Caenorhabditis elegans: one gene and its partners. The protein of the gene in region 3 interacts with the protein of the main gene of each other region in a pairwise test. Each region holds a gene or a part of one and is shown on either strand. Other genes may lie near its edges.

The links.
Region 1: the proteins of nfm-1 (region 3) and mel-11 interact in a two-hybrid assay, tested with the Caenorhabditis elegans proteins (one large-scale study listed by BioGRID).
Region 2: the proteins of nfm-1 (region 3) and psme-3 interact in a two-hybrid assay, tested with the Caenorhabditis elegans proteins (one large-scale study listed by BioGRID).
Region 4: the proteins of nfm-1 (region 3) and txbp-3 interact in a two-hybrid assay, tested with the Caenorhabditis elegans proteins (one large-scale study listed by BioGRID).

Annotation. Positions count from the first base shown.
Region 1 is NC_003280.10:9,356,740-9,361,543, forward strand, and holds the start of mel-11 (cGMP-dependent protein kinase interacting domain-containing protein), read left to right. Parts: upstream 1-1,791; 5' UTR 1,792-1,794; coding exon 1,795-1,875; intron 1,876-3,185; coding exon 3,186-3,386; intron 3,387-3,950; coding exon 3,951-4,505; intron 4,506-4,804.
Region 2 is NC_003281.10:11,566,531-11,573,889, forward strand, and holds psme-3 (Proteasome activator complex subunit 3), read left to right. Parts: upstream 1-1,606; 5' UTR 1,607-1,610; coding exon 1,611-1,820; intron 1,821-4,667; coding exon 4,668-5,092; intron 5,093-6,532; coding exon 6,533-6,644; 3' UTR 6,645-6,813; downstream 6,814-7,359. Other genes in the region: Y66D12A.10 (MITD1 C-terminal phospholipase D-like domain-containing protein), read left to right, coding at 34-102, 1,218-1,362.
Region 3 is NC_003281.10:6,157,911-6,165,107, forward strand, and holds nfm-1 (FERM domain-containing protein), read left to right. Parts: upstream 1-1,578; 5' UTR 1,579-1,968; coding exon 1,969-2,190; intron 2,191-2,320; coding exon 2,321-2,536; intron 2,537-2,882; coding exon 2,883-3,101; intron 3,102-3,177; coding exon 3,178-3,312; intron 3,313-3,359; coding exon 3,360-3,494; intron 3,495-3,569; coding exon 3,570-3,872; intron 3,873-3,915; coding exon 3,916-4,065; intron 4,066-4,166; coding exon 4,167-4,254; intron 4,255-4,726; coding exon 4,727-4,997; intron 4,998-5,108; coding exon 5,109-5,283; coding exon of another isoform or gene 5,284-5,295; exon of another isoform or gene 5,296-5,488; coding exon 5,489-5,704; 3' UTR 5,705-5,709; exon of another isoform or gene 5,710-5,716; intron 5,717-6,382; coding exon of another isoform or gene 6,383-6,433; 3' UTR 6,434-6,675; downstream 6,676-7,197. Other genes in the region: F42A10.9 (Gamma-glutamylcyclotransferase family protein), read left to right, coding at 6,742-6,833, 6,893-6,989.
Region 4 is NC_003281.10:5,045,667-5,048,726, reverse strand, and holds txbp-3 (Tax1-binding protein 3 homolog), read left to right. Parts: upstream 1-1,565; 5' UTR 1,566-1,584; coding exon 1,585-1,839; intron 1,840-2,319; coding exon 2,320-2,439; 3' UTR 2,440-2,551; downstream 2,552-3,060. Other genes in the region: vtip-1 (Vha Twelve Interacting Protein), read right to left, coding at 33-117, 166-265, 314-433, 481-603. UniProt on the Caenorhabditis elegans protein: May regulate a number of protein-protein interactions by competing for PDZ domain binding sites.

The DNA of each region.
Region 1 (4,804 bases), on a different chromosome or scaffold from region 3:
CCACGACCACCAAGCAGCACAACAGGTTAAGGATGATGATGAATAAGAGAACGGTGAGAGGAGGATCGGGAGAAGGATGATGGGAAGAGAGGGCAACCAGCCAACTGCCGCTGTGTGTATAATGATGCGGGAAAAGAGAACAGAGCGAGAGAGTCGAAATATATTGAGCGGTGTTTAATAGACGCAGACACGCCGCGTGCAGGCGGAAAGTTTCAAGTACGTCCCTCCCGGTCTCTTTCTCTTGGATGATGGTGTATCTGCGTCTCGAATCACTAATTCTCTCTTTCTGTCTATATCGTTGAAAATAGAGAGAGAGAGAACGACCTATCCATCGACTTGTCGCCCCTAATCCCGGGGGCACTGTTCCATTTTTTCTCTGGAATTAGTTCAATGTGTCCGTTACTCGAAAATTGTTTTTTAATTTCTCATTTTCTGAACATTGAACCTAGATTTTTTAAACAATGAATTTTTAATTTAAATGCCATAGCCAATGTTTTATATTAACATTGATTGCAAAAAAAAAAGAAATGTTTCTTTCCAAAAATATAACATTTCTTTTGAAATATAAACATTGATTGGCAATTTTCAAAAATTTTAAGCGTTTTTTACAGAAATGCCTTGCCTTTTTCAATTATTTTTCCAAATTTGTTTAGTTAGTCTTCAATGACTCACCGCAAACTTTTTTTAGAAACTTTGGAAACTCTAAATATTTCATTTTATAAAATTTTTGAACATAGATATTTTACACCAATATTTTTAGAAAACAAATTGCACCGGAAATAGTGCCCAATTTCATAATATTTGTTCTCCGGTGTATCCACAATCCAAAACCACCTTTATCACATCACTTTATCTAATTCTCTAAGCCTTTTCTGATCTTCACTGCCTCACTATTTTCACCCACTTGCCGCACTTTTCAATGGATGAGTGGGAGTTGTATTGATTAGTATTATATTTATATATCCTTAAGGATATATTTTTAATGGCGGAGTCCATGGATAGTTTGCTTAAAATTATTGAAAATTGGTCCTAATGAACGAATATATATATTTAAAAATGGTTTTAAATTATTTATAAATTTGAAGTTTGAAATTTTTTTTTTCAGTTTTGCCAAAAAATTCAAATTGCACATTTTTGTTGCAAAATTAAAAAAAATTTAGAACCATTTATAAGTGTTTTATAATTATATACGGTATTCGATTTTTCGATTTTTGGTTTTTTATTTAACAAGAACGTTGCATTTTTTAGATTTTTTTTTTTAGAAAAACCCGTAAATTTTTTGATTTTTTGGTATTTCGGAAAACCGAAAAACCGGCAGATTTCGAAAATTCGGGTATTCACATTCCAAGATTTATACGCAAAAGCTATGAAACTTTAGTCAAAAGATTAATCGAATAGTTGTGGTCTCATATTTCAAAAGAAGGATGAACCGGGAAATGAGTGAACGTTAAAGTAGTGGTGGTGGGATATGAAGAGTAATTGACTTGGAGGTGGTCGAATACGCGGAATAAGTCTCCGGTTTCAGTCACACGCTAAACTGGTCATTTCTTGTGGGTGTCTGTGTGTGAATACGAGTCATTTTTCCCAAGCTTCATCGTTTGATCTATTTTTTCTCGTTTCCAAAACCATAATATTTTTACAAAATACTTTATATATTTTTTGGAATTTCTACCCATTATTGTATCAATGAAACGAACGTCATTTGTATCACTTTTCTCATCGTTCTTTGCTTTTCTGATTGAACCTATCTCAAACAACAACATTTTTTACTAAAAAAATTTCATATTTTGCAGAATGGGTCAAGATGACGAGGACGATGCGCATATGCTGCAAGCAAAGCAGCAAATCACTTTTAATGTTGTGAATAAGAGAAAGGTGAGCTTTTTTCAAAAGTTTGAAAACAAAATTCAACAAAAAAATAAATCTGTAATTTTTGCGAAAAAAAATTTGGTAAAAACCTCGTTTATCACAAATTAAAATAGTAAAATAAAACTAAAATTTTCTTCGTTTAAATTGAAGAAATTGTCTAAATTTATATTTAAATTTCAACATTATAAATTAAAAATCAGTTTGAAATTTCATTTTTGTTAAAAGTGATCTTCGAACTTTAAATATCAAATTTTTGGCCGACTTTCTTCGGTTTTTGCGCCAAAAGTACGGTACCCGGTCTCGACACGAAAGATTTCTGTTAAATGCGAAAAGTTATGCACCTTTAAAGGTTACTGTAACTTTCAAAAAGGAATTTTCATTTTTTTTTCCATAGTTTTCATAGTTGTCTTTTTTTGTTCAGTAAATTAATATATTTTCAAAAACGAAAAACGTTAAAAAAATCATGGAATTTCACAACAATAGTAGGTTGAAATTACAGTACTCTTTAAAGGCGCAAGCCTTTTTGCATTAAACATAAATGAATCGTTTCGAGACCGGGGACCCGTTTTTTGACGTGAAAATCTTTAAAAAATTTCATCTGCTTAATTTTCCAGTTTGAAGCTTGTTCAGTTTTTTTGTAGTTTTTTTTTTCGAATTAAAAATTTGAGAAATTTAAAATTATTCTAGAGAAAGTTTCTGAAAACACCTTGCTCTCTATGATTTTTTGTCTGAACCGTCGTTCTTCCTTCATTTTCCATGTTTCCTCCTCCACCCCCGTTCTCCATTTTTCCTGCCATTTTCCATACAAACACATTGACAATAAAAGTGAGTCAGCGGGCACAGGGACACGACGACGGCGACGACGACGACGTCTCTTTCGTCTCTTCTCCGGAAAAAAAACCACCAAAAGAGAACGTTTTTTGATCTTTTTTTGATAGTTTCCACAGGCTTCCGGTTGAACTTTTTTCTTATCAGTGTCAAGTTTTGACTCATTCTAATCGGACGATTATTCGTTTTATTTTTTTCCATTTGCTTTGAAACTTTTTCTCTTGATCATTCAAAAATTAATTTCTAAAAAAAATTACAAACCAGTAGGTATTTAGTGAACAAAAAAAAAACGACAATCACGACCGAAATCCAGTCGTTTATACTTGTTAATCAATTGTGCAAACAGGTGCAAACACAATTTGTGAGCTCTCTCGGCGTGTGCCAACTTTTACTCTTTTTTACGCCGAGGGTTCGAAGTTTAAACATTCAATAAATTTAATATTTTTTAAACAAAAAAAACCATTTATTTGTAATTTTTAAATTTTCAGGATCAATTGCGCCGTTGGCAGAGCAGCGAGATGAACGCAGAAGCAGCTCGGCGAACGAAACGTCCAAAAGTACAATTTCAAGACAGTGATATTTTTCTGTCGGCATGTATGTCTGGAGATGAAGAAGAAGTTGAAGAACTGTTGAACAAGGGTGCCAATATTAATACTTGTACAGTTGACGGGTTGACCGCATTGCATCAGGTGAGATTTGCATTTATTATTGACAATTTGGTACTTGTATCGTCCATATGTGAAGTTTCGTGAATTTTGTTTAAAAAAATACGATACCCGGTCTCGAGGTGAACCTAAAGGAGTACTGTAGTTTTTCTACAGTTTCTTCAAAATTGCACATGTTTTTCAATAAAAGTTAAACAAACGTTTGAAAACGTATGAAACATCGAGGAAAATCCTGCAACAACAGAGAGCAGGGCTGGAGCAACGAAATTACAAAAAAAAATGAAATTGATAAAAACAAAACGAATTTAATTTGGAATTTATTTTAGAAAACAACCTTAACTTTTTCTGGAAATAAAAGTTCAAAAATAAATTTTAAAAAAATTCTTTTTGAATCCTTAAAAAACACATTTTTCGTAAAAAAAAAGTTCTTTAAAAACAGCTACAGTACTCCTTTAAGGCGCACAATATTTTAAATTTGGTGCTTCGAGACCGTACTTTTGAAACAAATCGCAACGTTTTGCATATGGATAGAACATTGAAAAATTGAAATATTGCATAAACAAAACATTCGAAATTGAATATTTTCAGTCGGTAATTGATTCAAAACCCGAAATGGTTCGATTTCTTTGTGAAAAAGGAGCCGATGTGAATGCACAAGATAATGAAGGATGGACACCTCTTCACGCAGCTGCATGTTGTGGAAATGTGGCAATAGTCAGATATTTGTGTCAACATGGAGCCGATCTCTCAATAGTTAATAGTGATAAAGAGTTAGCACTTGATCTTGCAGTAGATGAACAATGTCGTGATTATCTTGACGATGATTACAAGCGACAAATGATTGATCTCGATGCTTGTAGAGATCAAGAACTTCAGACAATGTTGAAAGATGTGAATATGTGGATGAGTCAGGGAGAATATCGAGATATTCCTCACCACAGAACAGGTGGAACTGCAATGCATGTAGCTGCTGGGCGAGGATACACACAATTACTCGAATTACTTATCAAAGCGGGTGGAAATGTACGGGCACAGGATGTCGAAGGATGGACTCCGTTGCATGCGGCTGCACATTGGGCTGAACGAGATGCATGTAAAATATTATTGGAAAATGGAGCGGAATTATCGGATCTAACGTTTACGGTAGGGGTTTACAGTTTTTCTGTTGCGGTTTTCAAGACCTGGCGCCTGCTTGAAACCTACCAGCCACTCGCCTATTTTCTGTATTCTGGCGTGAATTTTCAAATTTCTTATCTTCGAATTTCAATTCGATGAAAATCAAATTTAAAAAATAAATGAGGAAGGCAGAGGTCGCCTTAATTAAGCCAGGCAGGCGTTTCGACGCCGACATGGAAGTCCTATCAAAGAAAAACGACAACAAAACTGAATTTAAAAACATTTGTCATACCAAAATATGTTTTTTCAAAGATAAAAAATATTAT
Region 2 (7,359 bases), 5.4 Mb from region 3:
CGCCGGGAAAATTAGAAAATTTTGTGATTTCAGAAGCCTTGCGAAGCGCGGAGTGATGTTCAACGTCGAGTTCAGCACGACAATTCATGATCGGGAAATTATGTACAGATTTGAATTAATTTATCCCCCCGAAATGTGCTCAAACCTCTTGAAAAATTCGATAAATGGCCGGATTTTCGTTAAAATCTCCGGTTTCGACCACTTTTCTGCGTGGCAGCGGTCCGAAGTTCACTTTTATTTGATTATCCAATCTTTATTGCATATTTTGGTAGTTTATCTCTAAATATTTCGAAAAAAGTGGCCAAAAATGTCCAAAATATCTATATAAAGCCGGAAAATGACCGAAATTTGGCCAAAAAAGATTAAAAACGGCCAGAAATGCCCGAAATTTGCCAAAAATAACCAAAAAATTAATAAAATTAGTCACAAATTCCCGAAGTTGACCGGAAATCGCTAAAAATAGACTAGCAATGGTCAAAAAGAACCAAAGGAATGGCCAAAATGACCGAAATTGCCACAAAATATTGGAAAATGGCCAGAAATGTCCGAAAATTCGCCAAAACGAATGAAAATGACAGAAATTTTGATCATTTTTGGCCAATTTCGGTCATTTTTGGCTTATTTTTTGTCATTTTTTTTAGTAGATTTTGGCTTTTTTTGGTCAATTTCGGTAATTTTCAGTCAATTTGTAGTCATTTTTAGCCAATTTTTAATCATTTTTGTCCAATTTCGCTCATTTCGGCTTTTTTTTGGCCAATTTCGGTAATTTGCAGTCAATTTTTAATCATTTTTGGCCAATTTTTAGTCATTTTTGGCCAATTTTTAGTCAGTTTTGGCTAATTTTTAGTCAGTTTTGGCTTATTTCTGGTCAATTTCGGTAATTTTCAGCAAATTTTAGTTATTTTTCGCCAATTTTTAGTTATTTTCTGCCAAATTTTGGTAATTTTTGGCCCATTTCGTTAATTTTCAATCAATTTTTAGCTATTGTTGCACAATTTCGGTCATTTTTGGCTTATTTTTGGTCAATTTCGGTCATTTTTAGCCAGTTTCGATCATTTTTGACTAATTTCAGTCATTTTTGGCCAATTTTTAGTCATTTTCTGCCCAATTTCGGCCAATTTTTAGTCACTTGGCCATTTTTAGCCAATTTTTGATAACTAATTTCGTTAATTTGAGTTAAAAAACGATTTTAATGCATTTTTTAAATTATTTTCCAGATTCGACAACGGTTGGGTGGTGAAAAGTGGCCGCGGGCTCGACTATTTCAAAGCTTCCGATGGGAAATATGTGCTCGGCGCCAACGATATGGATCAGCGGCCGTGCCACGAGACTATTATCAATATTTTGAAGCGGAAAACTTGATTTTTCGTGTATTTTTTCAATGTTTTCTGTGAATTATCACACTTTTCCGGTTGTAAATAGTAATTTATCTCGATTTTTTCACCAATTTGCCAGAAAAAATGCCATTTTTCCAATTTATTGTGTGTTTTTTTTTCATTTTTTAAAAAGCTATTTCTTGGTTTCCAACCAGCGAATTATCGATTTTTCCCCCACAATTTTCCGTTTATTTTCTGCTTAATCCACATTTCCACTGGAAATTTTCCAGCACGATGGTCAAGAAGCAAAGTATGCCGGAGAACAAGGAGCTCGTCGAGTACAAGCAGAAGCTCTTTGCCGAAGCCGAGAGGCTCGTCAAAGAGGAATTTCCGAAGAAAGTTATCGAGTTCGACGCGTTGCTCAAGAGCCCAAAGCTCTCGTACGATCGTCTCGCCGAGATTCTTCCCGATAAATCGTTGAATATTCCGATTCCGGATGCGTTGGTACGGAGGGGAAAAATATCGAAAAAAAAAATAGTTTTTTCTCAAAAAATAGCGATTTCCGTGTGAAATTTTCAAGTTTTTTAACGCTTTTTTGCTGAAATTGACTGAAACTGGCTCCAAACATTAAAAAAATACTTTTTTTGCGTTGAAAATACCGAAATTTTATTTAAATTTTGATTTTTTCCTGTAAATTTGCAAATTTTTGCTTTTTTTTAAAGATTTTTGCACAAAAAAAATCAGATTTCTGTGAAATTTTCAAGTTTTTTAGGCTTCTTTAACGCTTTTTTTGCTGAAATTGACTGAAACTGGCTCTAAACATTTTTTTTAACGGCCCTAATTTTTTTGCCAAAAAGGCGATTTCCGTGTGAAAATTTCAAGTTTTTCGAGTTATTTTTTCGCTGAAAAAGACTAAAACTCGCCAAAAACGATCCGGATTTCGGGAAAAAAACCAATTTTTGCTGAAAATCGAATTTTCGAATAAATTTTTATGTTGTATCATGGAATACAGCTGAATTTTGCTGGAATCTCACAGAAACGACTAAAATTTGGTTCATATCCGCCTAAAATATGCAATAAAGGGTTATAATTTAATGAAAACTAAAAATCTCAGAAAAAATTCGAAAAATGTGCAGAATTTTGCTAAAATTTGAAATTTCTAATTAAAAAATAGGGTTTCTTGAATAAATTTCAATAAACCCAATTTTTAATCGGAAATTTCGAATTTTTGCAAAATTCTGCACATTTTTCGAATTTTTTCTGAGATTTTTAGTTTTCATTAAATTATAACCCTTTATTGCATATTTTACGTCGATAGGCAACCAATTTCGGTAATTTCTGAGAGATTTTAGCGAAATTTAGCTGGATTCCATGGCTGCAGCTGCTTCGACAAGAAAATTTTGTGAAAATTTCGGATTTTAGCGATATTTGGCTCTTTTTATCTGAAATTCTGGGCGTTTGGCGCAAGTTTTAGTCTATTTCAGCAAAAAAACATATTAAAAAAAAACTTTAAACTTTCAGAGAAATCGCCTTTTTTGCGAAAAAAATCTCAAAAAAAAAAGCAAAGATTTACCAATTTACTGGAACAAATCAAAATTTAATGAAAATTCCGGTAATTTCAGAGAAAAAAACCAAAAAAAAAGTTTTATTTTTAATTTTTGGAGCCAGTTTCAGTCCATTTCAGCAAAAAAAGCGTAAAAACTTGCAAAAAATAATGTAAAAAAATAAAAAATTTGCCAATTTACAGGAAAAAATCAAAATTTAAAGAAAATTCCGGTTATTTCAAAATTAAAAACCAAAAAATAGTCTTTTTAAAATGTTTGGAGCCAGTTTCAGTATATTTCAGCAAAAAAAGCCGTAAAAATTCGAAAATTTCACAGAAATCGCCTTTTTATTCCAAAAATCCTATCAAAAAAAGCAAAAATTTGCCAATTTCCAAAAAAAGGGGAAAACATTTTTAAAAAATAGTATTTTTACAATTTTTGGAGCCAGTTTCAGTTTATTTCAGCAAAAAAAAGCGTTAAAAAGCCTAAAAAACTTGCAAAAAAATGTTAAAAAATAAAAAATTTGCCAATTTACAGGAAAAAATAATAAAATTTCGGTAATTTCAGAAAGAAAAACGAAACACCTTTTTTAATCGTTTGGAGCCAGTTTCAGTATATTTCAGCAAAAAAAGCCGGAAAAATTCGAAAATTTCACAGAAATCGTCTTTTTTTTTTGCAAAAAAAATATCTCAAAAAAGCAAAAATTTACCAATTTACAGGAAAGTATGAACATTTAAATAAAATTTCGGTAATTTCAGAGAAAAGAACCAAAAAAATAGTTTTTTTTTTTGACATTTTTCGAGCCAGTTTCAGTTTAATTCAGCAAAAAAAGCGTTAAAAAACCTTTAAAAAACATGAAAATTTCACAGAAATCGGTTTTTTGCGAAAAAAAAAGTTTAAAAAAATCTCAAAAATGGAAAAATTCACCAATTTCCATTAAAATCACTGCAACTTTTTCCTCACGAGGGACGAGGAAAAGTGGTTTCTAGGCCATGGCCGAGGGGCCGACAAGTTTCAGCGGCCATTTATCTTGCTTTGTTTTCCGCCTGTTTTCTTTCGTTTTTCATCGATTTTTCCCGTTTTTTCTTATTAAAACTGATAAATAAATACTTTTTGCAAATGCTAAAACAATTTCCAAGTAAAAAAATTATGTATTCAGTGGGCAAGCAGCGGTGAAAGTGGTCAATGCAATATGATGGATTACGGGAATACAAAACCTAAACTTTTTCTGAAACATGATACATATGATGCTTAGATGCTGAAATTACCTGATTTTCATAACGAGACCGCTGAAAAAGTTTTGAGGTTTCCAAATTCAACTTTTTTGGTGAAAAAGTCGAGATTTTCGCACAAAAATTTGAATTTTGAAAACCTCAAAACTTTTTCAGCGGTCTCGTTATGAAAATCGGGTAGTTTCAGCATTTAAGCAGCATATGTATCATGTTTCAGAAAAAGTTTAGGTTTTGTATTCCCGTAATCCATCATATTACAATGCCCACTTTCACCGCTGCTTGCCCACTGAATACATAATTTTTTTACTTGGAAATTGTTTTAGCATCTGCAAAAAGTATTTATTTATCAGTTTTAATAAGAAAAAACGTGAAAAAGCTGTGAAAAACGAAAGAAAACAGGCGGAAAACAAAGCAAGATAAATGGCCGCTGAAACTTGTCGGCCCCTCGGCCATGGCCTAGAAACCACTTTTCCTCGTCCCTCGTGAGGAAAAAGTTGCAGTGAAAATATCAAAATTTAAAGAAATTTTCTCTGTAATTTTTTTTTCAACGCGAAAAAAAAACCAAATTTTTGCAGAACGGCACCACGGACAGCGATGAGCCAGCGGTAAAGCGTCAGCGAGTCGACGAGAAGCCCAAAGGAGCCCCGATCTTCGCGTTCAGCAGCGGCACTGTCCCATGCAACGAGAATCTCGCCCAACTCATGGATCTGGTTCGCCCGAAGCTTCGTGACGCTGTCGAGCAGTGTAACAACGTGAAAATGTGGATCACTTTGCTCATTCCACGCATCGAAGACGGCAATAATTTCGGCGTCGGAATCCAAGAGGAGACACTGTCCGAAGTTCGGAATGTCGAAAGCGAGGCCGCCTCGTTTTTGGATCAAATGAGCCGATATTTTACGACTCGTGGAAAGCTTATCACGAAGATTGCTAAATATCCACATGTGGATGATTATAGACGTGCTATTCTTGATATGGACGAGAAACAGTTCATTAATATTAGGTTGGAGCAGCAGAAATTAGCGAAAAATTGAATTTTTTAATGAAAAAAAGTTTAAATTTCGGAATTTTCAAAAAAAAACCGATTTTTTCTAGGTTTTTTTCCTTTTTTTGGTCTAAAAAATCTATAAAAATTTTAAAAATTGCAACAAAAAGAAAAAAAGCGGATTTTTTCAAAGGTTTTTCCTTTTTTGAGCTATTTTTAAAACCTTTTTAGCCTAAAAATCCAAAAAAAAACCCGAAAAATTGCAAAAAATGTTCAAAACAGTTCAATAATATTAGGTTGGAGCGAAATAGCGAAAAATTGAATTTTTGAAGAAAAAATCTCACTTTAAAAATTTTCAAAGAAAAAGTCGAAAAACGGATTTTTTTGAAAAGTAAAACACTTTTTTTGCCGTTTTTTGGTCTAAAAAATCCAAAAAAAAAAACCTTAAAAAAAATTGTTTTTTTTTAATTTTAAAAATACAAATCATCTCATAAATATTAGGCTGGAGCGAAAATTAGCATAAAATATCGAATTTTTAAAAATTTCACAAAAAGAAAGAAGAAAACACATTTTTTCAAGGTTTCTTGCCTTTTTGCTAAAAGGCTAATTTACTAATTATTTATGCTAATTTTTGTTAAAAGGTTGCCTTTTTTTTTTGTCTAAAAAATCCCAAAAAAACCTTTAAAAATTGTTGTTTTTTTTAAATTTTTTCAAAATAAAATAAAAACCATTTCATAAACATTAGGTTGGAGCGAAAATTAGCGAAAACATTTTTTTGAAAGAAAAAATTTCAATTTTAGAAATTTCACAAAAGAAAACCAAAAAAAAAAAAAGCGAAGACACATTTTTCGCTACTTTTTTCGTTGTTTTTGCTAAAATTAAAAATCTAACTTTTAGAAACGCGATTTTTCAGTTTTGGCTAAATTCCCTCCAAAATGAGAACTTCCCGACCAATCAGCGATTCGCTCCGCCCACATTTATCTAACCAATCAGATGGAGTGGGCGGAGTTCCACGTCGCTGATTGGTCGGGGAGTTCTCATTTTGGAGGGAATTTAGCCAAAATTGAAAAATCGCGTTTTAAAAGTTAGATTTTTAATATTTATTTTTTGCAATTTTTCTGAATATAAAAAACCGAAAATAGTTTTAAAAACGAAAAAAAAAAAATTAAAAATATTATAATTCTATTTAAAACCCAAAAAATCTTTAAATAAAAGAAAACCAGAACTCAAAAAAAATTATTTGAAAAAAACCAATAAAAACACGATTTTTCGAATTCCCTCCAATATGAAATCTCCCCGACCAATCAGCAACTCCGAGCTCCGCCCACTCCATCTGATTGGTTTAAAAGTGGGCGGAGCGAATCGCTAATTGGTCGTGTGCAGTTCTCATTTTGGAGGGAATTTTTTTTTTATATTTGTAAAGTTTCCGAAAATTTATTGAATTTCTGTGTGTTTCAGATTGGTGGTTCTCGAGATGCGCAATCACTTCTCCACACTTCACGATATGATTATGAAGAACTATGAGAAGATCAAGGTTCCACGCACCTCCAACACCGAACATCTTTATTAAGGAATTGAATCCATCATCCTGTTTTAATGTTTGCTTCGGTCTCAAATTTTACCCAATTTTTGATTGTTCTTTCGAGTTTTTTATTATTATTGTTGAATTGTTTTTTTGTCCCAGTTTTTTTTGTTTATTCTCCGCATTTTTAGGAGCTCTATTAAGACTAATTTTTCTTTTTCTTTCTGTTAAAATTTTGTGAAATTTTCAAGGTTTTTTGGCCTTTTTTATCTACCTTTTTCTCATTATTGCTTAAAAATCAAAAAAAAAAGTGAAAAAATTAATTTTAAAAAAAGACTTTTTGCATCTTTTTTTTTTTGAACAAAAACTCCAAAATTTCAAATTTAAGCAGTTTTTTCATGGGTTTTCTGAATTTAGGATTTTCTGGAGAAAAATTGCCTTTAAAAAAAGGCAAAAAAACCCTGAAATTTTCCACAAAATTTTTACCGAAAAAATTTGAATAAAAAATCCAAAAAAAAAAAGATTTTTCTGAAATTTTGGTCAAAAATTTTTTAAAGTTTTTTTTTAGTTTTGTTAAATTCCGCCATTTTTTTTTTTTTGAAATTTAAAACTCAATATTTCACTTTTAATACAATTTTATAGGGCTTCAGCGCTAAATTAGCATTTTTGAAAAAAATTTAGCGTTGCAGCCTTGTAAAATTGTACTAAAATTGAAGTATTGAGTTTTAAATTTCGAAAAAAATGGCGGAATTTGAACAAAACT
Region 3 (7,197 bases):
TAAGTTTACTCCTTTTTTCCAGAAAAACTCTAATATTTAAGTGATAACACCCACGCAGAGTGCAATTAAATATCGATACAACAATTCATTATCATCATCAAATAACAAACAATTAACAAATGAGGCATCGACACTCTCGAAGTAGCACAAAAATTGAGTGAGGTGGCTCTTGCACAGAGAGCGAGAGCATAAGTGTGTGCTCTGGCTCCGCCTATTTTTTCGGAGCTCTGGGAGAGAAGGATAGAGAGAGAGAGAGGGAAGAAGGGATTTCCCGAGGCTCCCGGCAGGAAGTGTTGGGAGCCAGACAGTGGGAGCAGGCACAGAGTACGAAGAGCAAAGTGGAAAGATGGGAAACAACAAATTATGTTATGAGGAAGTTTTTTGGCAGATTGGTTATGAAACTTTGCAGAACTTTAATGCGTTACTGTAAATTTAAGGGAAAGTAGGTTCCATCGAGCGTACTTACGAAAATTGTACTGTAGCTCACTATCAGTACACTGTACTTTCGAAACATTTTTCTGGATTTCATCTTTCTGGAATTTTTGAATTTTCAATATGGAAAAAATGTACTTAAACTTCATTCGAAAATTATATGACTTCAAAGGAATAGGGAGGTTAATCGAAAAGTTACTGAAGTTTTCGAATTTTTGTTGGCCATTTTGCTTACACAAGTGCGCCCCACTTCACACTGATGTCTCTTTTGAAAATATAATAATAAGTCAATCGAAAAATACCGATTGTGTGAATTTTTCTATACTGTCCCTATTCCCCCTTTCATCTCCCCCCATTGACCACTTCTCCCCATCCCCTCCTCCTATTATGCGTAACACCCGGCATGTCTAGGCCACGAAAGTTGTGGTTCGTCGTGCAGTCATGTCCGAGTGGTTAAGGAGATTGACTAGAAATCAATTGGGCTCTGCCCGCGTAGGTTCGAATCCTGCTGACTGCGTTAAATTTTTTTCAATTTTTTCGCACATTTTTTTCGTTGTAACTTCGAAATTGTACAAAATGAAAATATACTTGATAATAAACCAAAACGTGCAGTCATGTCCGAGTGGTTAAGAATGTCCGAGTGGTTAAGGAGTTTGACTCGAAATCAAATGGGCTCTGTCCGCGTAGGTTCGAATCCTGCTGACTGCGAATCTTTTTGAATCTCGTCAGTCGATGTAACTTTTGTATCGAAACCATTTGGAGAAAAACGATGGAGGAGGAAAGGGCGTGTTGACATTATTTTATTTATCGAAAAACTGAAAATTCTTGTTCACACGAGACCAGGCCACATATTTTCACAATGCGTCATATCAGTTGGGGGCATTGAATCATTGTTCTTCAATATTTTTATCAGTTATTCTTCAATGAATGCACCTGGGATTCCATACCTATCATCATTATGAGTGTTGAAATATTGTTTCGTCCTCTCTTCCAATCATCTTCTCTTGTTGTTAGTTCCAATGCCTCTCCTTCCTCTCATATGTTCTAACACTTCTTGTGAGACAGACAGTTGGCATAGAGTTCCTCGACGCAGATACCTATACAGTTACAACACTATTTGCCCTGGGGCGTACTTACATTGATTTTCTTCACTTTTCTTAACTATTTAACATACTTTTTTTAAGATGGGCTTCATCTCATTATTGATTTTTCACCCTAGAGAAACCAATTCAGTACTTCGGAGACTATAGAACTTTTCTAACTTTCCGAAGTTTTAAACGGAAATATTGGAATCCACGTTATTTTCTAATTGCCTCAAACTGAAACTATCTGAAATTTTTATTTTCAAAGAAACTAAAAAAGCAATTTTAGTATCTGAATTTTTGGATGTTGTTCTTACTTGACGGAAAGAAAATACGTGCAATACGTTCATGTGCAGACAACGGTCTTTTTTCAGAAATGAATAATAGTTGCTAGTATTATTTTTTTCTTAAACTTCCAGGCTAATTTCACCTACAAAAATTCCAAAAAATAGCAATGGGTGGATTTTCGATATTTTCGCGAAACACGAAGCCCATTTACGCAAAAGTGAGCACAATGGATGCTGATTTGGAGAAGATTGTAATTGAGAAAACATGGACAGGAAGACATTTATTTGAAGCAGTTTGTCGAATTATTGGATTACGGGAAACTTGGTATTTTGGACTACAGTTCACAAATAAAAAGAATATTCCATGTTGGTTACAGAATGATAAAACTGTGAGTTTTTGTTGAATACATTTTTGGGGATACGGTATTTCCAACAATAAAACCAAATTCTAATTATCAAATTAAAATATTTTGGGAAAAATAATTTCTCTGAAAATAATTAATTTTTGAAATTTTCCAGATCTGTGGCCAAGACATCCAAAAAGACACATCTGATGGAACTTTTAATTTCTTATTTCTTGTCAAATTCTATCCAGAAGACGTGGAACCTGAGATTATTCTAGATGCCACTAGACATTTGTTCTTTTTACAAATACGAGAAGCAATACTTTCAATGAATCTATATTGTTCACCTGAAGCAAGTGTTTTATTGGCCAGTTTTGCAGTTCAAGCAATGGTAAGATTTTTGTATTTTAACTGGGTTTTACAAAATATGAAAATGCCATTTAAATTCCTTTATTGAACTTTTAAAAGATCGTCAGTTGAGAAAGTGTTTAAAATCACTCATAAAATTTTTAATATATTTCTGAAAAATTGAGAATTACAATATCGAAATTTACCAAAACTTTTGCTGTAAAATTTTGAAAATCTAAAATTTTCAGAAAGGATATTTGAAGAGTATTTGAAAATCCCATTTTCTTCCAGAAAAATTGGCAAAACATTTTCAAGTGCCTGAAAATGTTTCTGAAAAACTATCTATATACACTTTATTCAAAATCTAGTAAAAACGAATTAATTTTCAGCATGGCGACTGTACAGAAGAAGTTGGTCCAATTGATCTTGACAAGCATTTACCAAAAAGTGTGATTGATCAATATGATATGAGTGCTGATATGTGGAGAGATCGAATAAAACGATGGTGGTCACGGAATGCAGGACAATCAAGAGAAGAAGCTGAACTTGAGTATTTGAGAGTTGCACAGGATTTGGAGATGTATGGAATATTATATTATCCTATTTGTGTAAGTTATTTGAGAGATTCTGTTTGAACGGTTGTGGACATTTGAATTTGAGATACATAATTTTATTTATTTTCAGAATAACAAAGAAACTGACTTACATCTTGGTATATCCGCTCAAGGGTTGGGAATCTATAAGGGAGTGAATCGAATAACACCTCGGCCGTTTTTTAGTTGGAGTGAGATTAAGAATATTCAATTTAAGAATCGAAAGGTAATTTTTTTAAAATTTTCTTTTCACGATTTCCATTGTACGTTCAGTTTCACATGAAAACCGTCGACAAATCCACAATATCATTTCGATCACGAGAGACATCAATTGATTCTTCAATATTGGATCTTTGCATTGGAACACACAATTTGTATTTAAGGAGGAGGCAGCCAGACACGTTAGAGGTATGTGTCTTTTATAGTAGGGCAACTTGAAAATTTCTATTCAGTTTTCTACGAAATGATAACTGTATATTTCAGGTTCAACAAATGAGATCACAAGCAAAAGAAGACAAGCAACGTCGAGCAGCAGAACAAGCAAAAGTTGCATTGGAACGAAAAGAGAGGCAGCAAATGGAAAAAGAATATAAGGAAATGAAACAAAAAGTTGAAGTGATGACTTTGGAATTAATGAAAGCTCAAGAAAATATACGAAAGGCAGAAGAAGCGAATGATCAATTAGCAGAGAAGGCACGACACAGTGAACATGAAACTTTGATGTTGTACAAGCAAAAAAGTGAAGTTGAAGCTGAATGTAATCGATTAAGTATGAATAATATGAAGGTAAAAAATCAAATTAATTATGAAATTAAAGTTTAATTTTCAGTCCGAAGAAGCTCTGTTGAGAATGGAACGAAAAGCTCGGGAAGCTGAGATTTTGGCAAAGCAGATGTCAATGTCACTAGCAGATGTAAGCCTTGACGCGAATCGGAAAATGACACAGTATTCGAGTCAGTCTGCGTTGATTATTGATCCGGTAAGTTAATGGAAAATCTTCCCATTTTGAGTAAATCTTGACAAAACCGTAATGGGATTGATAGAGGATATACTCGATTAATACGGTTTAGAAACTTTCAGAATTGGCATCAACAAGTATCTGGTCATCAATCAGGTCATCCTGGTATGCCATCAACAGGATCATTTCATCAACTGCAATCACTTGACAGTTAGTTTTTTTAAAGGCACAATAAAAAAGTCTATTCCAAAATAGTATAGAAGTATAATATCTATAGCAACTTTTGCATGATAATTTTGGCAATGGGCGTAAAACTATGTTTAAAAGTTAAGAATAAAAGTTTGCCGAGTCAAAAAAGTCTAGATCACATAATAAAAACCGACCCCCTAATCAGTTTATCGAATTTTTTTTTGATTATGTAACTTCAACATTTTCTCACAGCCAGGTATTTGCAAAGTTGCCTCAAAAAAGAGAACACTAAAAAATATTTTGGTAATGATATTATAAATTCAAGATCTTCAAATGAGAATGTGTCTAGTTGTAAACTAATTTATTGTTTGTAATGCCAATTTGGGAATGAAATCGCAAGCCAAGTTGCTACTGTTTTTGACCAATCCACGTCTTGTTAGAAATAAGAAATAAGAAAAATATGATTATATTTATACGGAAACAACATTTTCAGCACACACTCATCCTCAACAAATGATGTCTCGAAGTCTGAATATGCCATCATCTGCATTTTCCTCCCCAATTCCTTCAAATCAACCACTTTCTCATCAACAACCACAACAAATGTCTCAAAATACTCAAGCTCATCAACAACAAACTCAAGTTCAAAATCAGAATCAACCGCCATATTACGGAGGATCTGGTATGATTATTCCACCACCCGATCCTTCAATTAGTCAGATTTTCGAGCAACAGACTACTCTGATGGAGTTGGAAAAATCAAGGTTAGTTTGGTAATTAAAAAAAAAGGATAACTGAATTATATGCTAGCAGAGTTGAGCAATGGAGGTACAATCCTAATAGAGAATAGTATGTGACATTAGAAATTTTTTCAGGTCAGAATACGAAACACGAGCGCGAATCTTCAAGGAGCACCTGGAAGAATTACGTGGCGATATTGACGGCCTGAAACGAGACGGTAATGTACAAAATGGGCAGCATCGAGAGCATGATGCGGTTCATGCACAAAATGTGGCACACGGTTTTGATAAGTTCACGACGATGAGAATGGTAAGTAGATAATTTAGCAAGTTCTGTTAGCATGCTACCGTTCTGAACGGTTACTAAGCTGATCTCATGATCAGAAGGTCAAAAGTTCAAAAAGTTATTAAATCTCTTTTTCATCCTATTCTATTATATGTTAAGCTTCTAATTTATTAAAATTTCGCGCGTTTGGCATTTGTAAGTTTGACGCTTAACTTCGGAATATCTCCAGAAAAAATCAAAAAGCGCAAGCTCAATTGGCTCATCGGGTTCCTCCGATTCCTTGGAGCTCAATACTGTCGCTAGACATGTGGCGGGACGAGGGATTCCACGTGTCTCTACAGTATCCACTACGAGCTCGTCAAGTATTCTGAGCCACGTCATGATGCTGCATAGACAGCAGTCTTATGATTTGGGAAACACTGAATGGCAGGAAGCTGACATTTGAATATAGTGAGAAAATAGTGCCAGAGTTTGATTGTTGTGTGGTAGAGCGTGTTTGCATATTGACTAATTTTCCAATTATTGTTTTCTAACACTTGTTGATTGGTATTTTTGTTAGAGTTGAAAATAAACATTCATGGTTCAAGCGCTCTATGAATAAATTCAATAATATGCACACTGTAATTGTTTTTTTTTGACTTAAAATTTAAAAATCAGGAATCGCAACAATGAACGCAGCGCGAAAAATATTTCTTAGAGCGCAATCGTTACGTCGGGTACTGACACGAGATTATTTTTTCCGCTACAGTATCCAATAGTAGACGTTCCATCGTTTATTTGGAAATTCTTTTTCTTGAGTTTTTATGTTTTTGTAGTAAACCTATTCAGGGAAAATAAGATTTTCACAACAAAAACTCGAAAAATTTTTAAAAATAGAAAGAAACAAGAAAAAGCAAAACCCAGGGTACGGTATCTGAAAAGTTTCGCTCGCGCTAAGACTTTATTAATTTTATTAATTGATTCAAAAAATCACACATTTTTTAGTGAAACTATATCTTTGAATTTCACAAACCTGTCCGTCGGTGTATTTTGTTGTGATTTTTCAAATTTTGAAATGAACATTAGTGTGGTATTGATTGATTATTCTTCTCATTTTCCAATTATAATTTTCTTATAATTTCAGAGTATGCGAGGAACTCCACGACAACGAGCACAAGCTTTTGATGGAATGTGATAAGAAACTTTATGGCCATTTATGAACCGATTTTCCTTTTTTTTCTTCAGTTTTTCCCCATCCCGATAAGAGATAACCCCATTTTGTGCTCATTCAGTTTATTGATTTTTCCACACCCTTTTGCCATTTTTCAATCAATAATCTTTCGTGGCAAGACAAAAACGCGTATTTTTCTTCTTTTTTCCGAAAGGCATATTGTGTAAATATACATATCGAATGATTGATGAATACAGATTTTTTTTAAATGTTTTTTTATTAACTTAAAATAATGAAAAAATCTGTAATTTATTAATTCATTTCCAGCAAAAATGGGCGAAAAATTCAAGGTTTTCGTGTATGGAACCCTGAAAACAGGAGAGCCAAACTACAAGGTTCTGTCAGAAACTGACGGAGAATATCGGTAAGTTCGGGAGTACTGAAGAATTTTGAGTGTCAAATGTGATGCATTACTTCTTTCAGATTCATCTCATCTGGAACTACAGTGGAAAAGTTCCCATTGGTAGTTGGAACCAAATATAACATTCCATTTTTGCTTGATGATGCTGGGAATGGAAATGTGAGTTTTACAACCTGAAGTTTATTTAAACCGACGTACTTTGAAGCATATTGACAAGTAATTAAAAAAAAAGAACGAGAACGGAATCAGCTTTGGCAGGGAAACAAAGATGAATAAGGAAATTTTAAAGAAAGAAACAGAAAAATGATTATGCGCACGGTTTAAAGGGAGTATAAATGCCAAAAACTTGTTTAGATCCGAAATTTTT
Region 4 (3,060 bases), 1.1 Mb from region 3:
TCCTTCTTTAAATGATTTATTTTAATTCTTACGTCATGATAAAATTGTTTCGATGTCCTGGTTCAGCTTGCTTCACAATATACATATCGCCACTATCAGTGATTGTCATGGAATTTACTAAAAAAAAATATATTTTAAAAAATGTTTTATACCAGAAAAACTTACATAATCCTTCGATAAACGACTCATGAACAACATCTCCATCAAGTGAAATTACTCTTAAAATTGTCGTTCGATCAGAGAATTCAGCTGATGTGTAGATTATCTGTAAATTTGAATAATTAATAACTTAAGTGAAAATAATTTATTGTACCCTGTCTTTGTACGAAATTACTTGTGGAAATGGGGCCATTTTCTTGAAGAATTTCTTGTCTTCGTGCAGAGTTCGGAGAGTTTTTCCGTTGAATTTATATAAACCGCCTTTTGAAGCTACCTGAAAAATGAATAATTTTTAATTGTTGTTGTTTAATTATAATATACCCATATATTGTTGTCTTGGTCGTAAACAACGTTATAAGGAACTCTTGCCCCTCTTGGCTCCAAATGAAGAAGCATTTCATCAAATCGTTGATAATCACTGGTGTCTGACGGTTCTTGGGTCATTTTTATGCTGAAAATTGAAAATTTATTAGATAATTTATCATTATATTTAGCAAAAGAAATGAGAGTCAACGATTAACTAAAAATTTAAGAGTTTTGCGCAAGAGAAGTGTCTAAAAATCAATAAAAAATTTCACCATACCCAGCTCGCTGCGAGACCTCAATCAATAATTTGAATGCACTCCTTTAAAACCACAGTAATCGGCGAAGTGAATTTGAATATTATTAGATTGAACAACATTTTCAAAGTGAATTCACATTTAAAATAAAGTGAAAATAAAGAAGATTTTGGAGTTAAACATGGTTTAAAAGTGGGAAAAATGTTTTAATTTGAACAAAAATGGTTTTTGAAAATAAATCGATTTCTCAAACATATATTGTGGAAATTGGAAAATCTACAGTACCTAGCATTAAAAAACTTCTTTTCCGCTACTGATTTTAGATTTTTAGATATTCTTTTTTCTTGACTATATTGTTTTACATTGAAATAATTCATTATTAATTATTATAATATCTTTAAAAATATGCCTGCAAATAGAAACATGCAAGACTGCAAGATTTGGAAACGTTAAATAAAAAATTGAGGGAAAAAGATTATTCAATACAAGTAAAACCAACTTTCCATGGCCGCAAAAAGCGATGTTTGGTCTTATTTTTTCAATTTCTCTTCCACGGCCACCAATTCAATTATTCTCTTATCGGCAACACTTGTACAAGGTCGCCATCTCAATGACAATCCGAACGGAATTGAGTAAAAATGTATGCAAATTCGGCCATGAGAGTAGGAAGATGAGATAGTGTAAGAAAAATGGAGACCAGAGGGGGTTGAAGACAATGAGTCACACCTCATGTTGTATGTGTGCGTTTCATCTTTGTCCGTGTTCCGACACATTTAAACATTAGTTTTTGAACAAAAAACCTCATTTTCTTTTCAATTTCACTTTTAAATACTTTCCAATTTTCAGATCAAAAAAAAATAATACAATGACAGCATATGGTCATATGCCAGGAGAAGCAATTGAATGTTTGTCAATTGCTGTTGAATTGCACAAACAAGAAGTTATTGATGCTCATGGACAAGTCACAATTCGAGTTGGATTTAAAATTGGTGGAGGAATTGATCAAGATCCAACAAAAGCGCCATTCAAATATCCGGATTCTGGAGTTTATATCACAAACGTCGAATCAGGATCGCCGGCGGATGTGGCTGGATTGAGAAAGCATGATAAGATTCTGCAGGTAATTATGAAATTTTTAAGTTTTCTTTTCCCAGAGACAAATGATCAAACTTTCTTGCCAACATATACATTGTTAATTAAGAGTACTGTAAACTTACTGCCGAATTTTCATCGATCTTGCATAGTTTTTCTCATGAGTTTTTGGAAATTTTTGTGTTGTTATATTTCAAATAAATAAATATACTTTCATCAAAAAACCATGCAAAATCGATGAAAATTCAGCAGAAATGAGAATTTGAAATTACAGTACTCTTCTTAGGCAATATTTTCTCATTCAACATAAATTTGCGTGAATTAAACTGAAGTGAATTAAACATTTGGCCAATTAAAAAATTTTTGGTAGACAAACTCAAGAACGTTCGAACATTAGCTTAACATAAGTTTCCAAAAAATTGAAAACTCCTCAAAATTTTTCTAGATGATATTGAGAACATCCTCTAACAAACGGACACCCCAACTAAATAATATTCTCTATTTTCAGGTCAATGGAGCAGATTTCACAATGATGACTCATGATCGAGCTGTGAAGTTTATCAAACAATCAAAAGTACTTCATATGCTTGTTGCAAGAGCCGATCTTCCTCCTGTCAGTCTTCATTAACTCAATCTCATTTGTTCCGTTCACATTCAAACTTGCCCTTTTCAATTATCTCTCAAACTCAATTCTGCGCATATATTTTGATATTTATCGGGTTCAAAAATAAAAAATTTTACTTTTTTGACGACACAATGCATCATTTGACAAGAAAAATTGGTCATTCGTGTTTGGAAAAATGAACTGAAAATTTCATAATTGCCTGTAAATTTTTATCATACAAAAATGAATTATTTCAATGTAAAAAATAAAGTAAAACAAAAGAAATTATAAATCTGAAATCTGTCGCAATAAATTTGTTAAATTAAAACATTTTTTCCACTTTTAAACTAGTTGGGATATTAAAATCTTTGTTGCTTTCACTTTATTTGAATTGTGTATACACTCTGAAAATGTTTTTAAATCTAAATAATGAATTTCAAATTTACTACAAGGATTACTGTAGTTTAAAAGGAACACACGTGATTTCACTTGATGGATTCTTGGAACAAATTCAATTGTGTAAACACAGAAAAAGTGATGTACTAACAAAATGTAGTATTATATGCAAATGAAACTTGTAGTACATACTAAAGTCTTCTCGAATCATCTCGAAAATAATAAAATAGTATTTTTTAAAACTTTTAA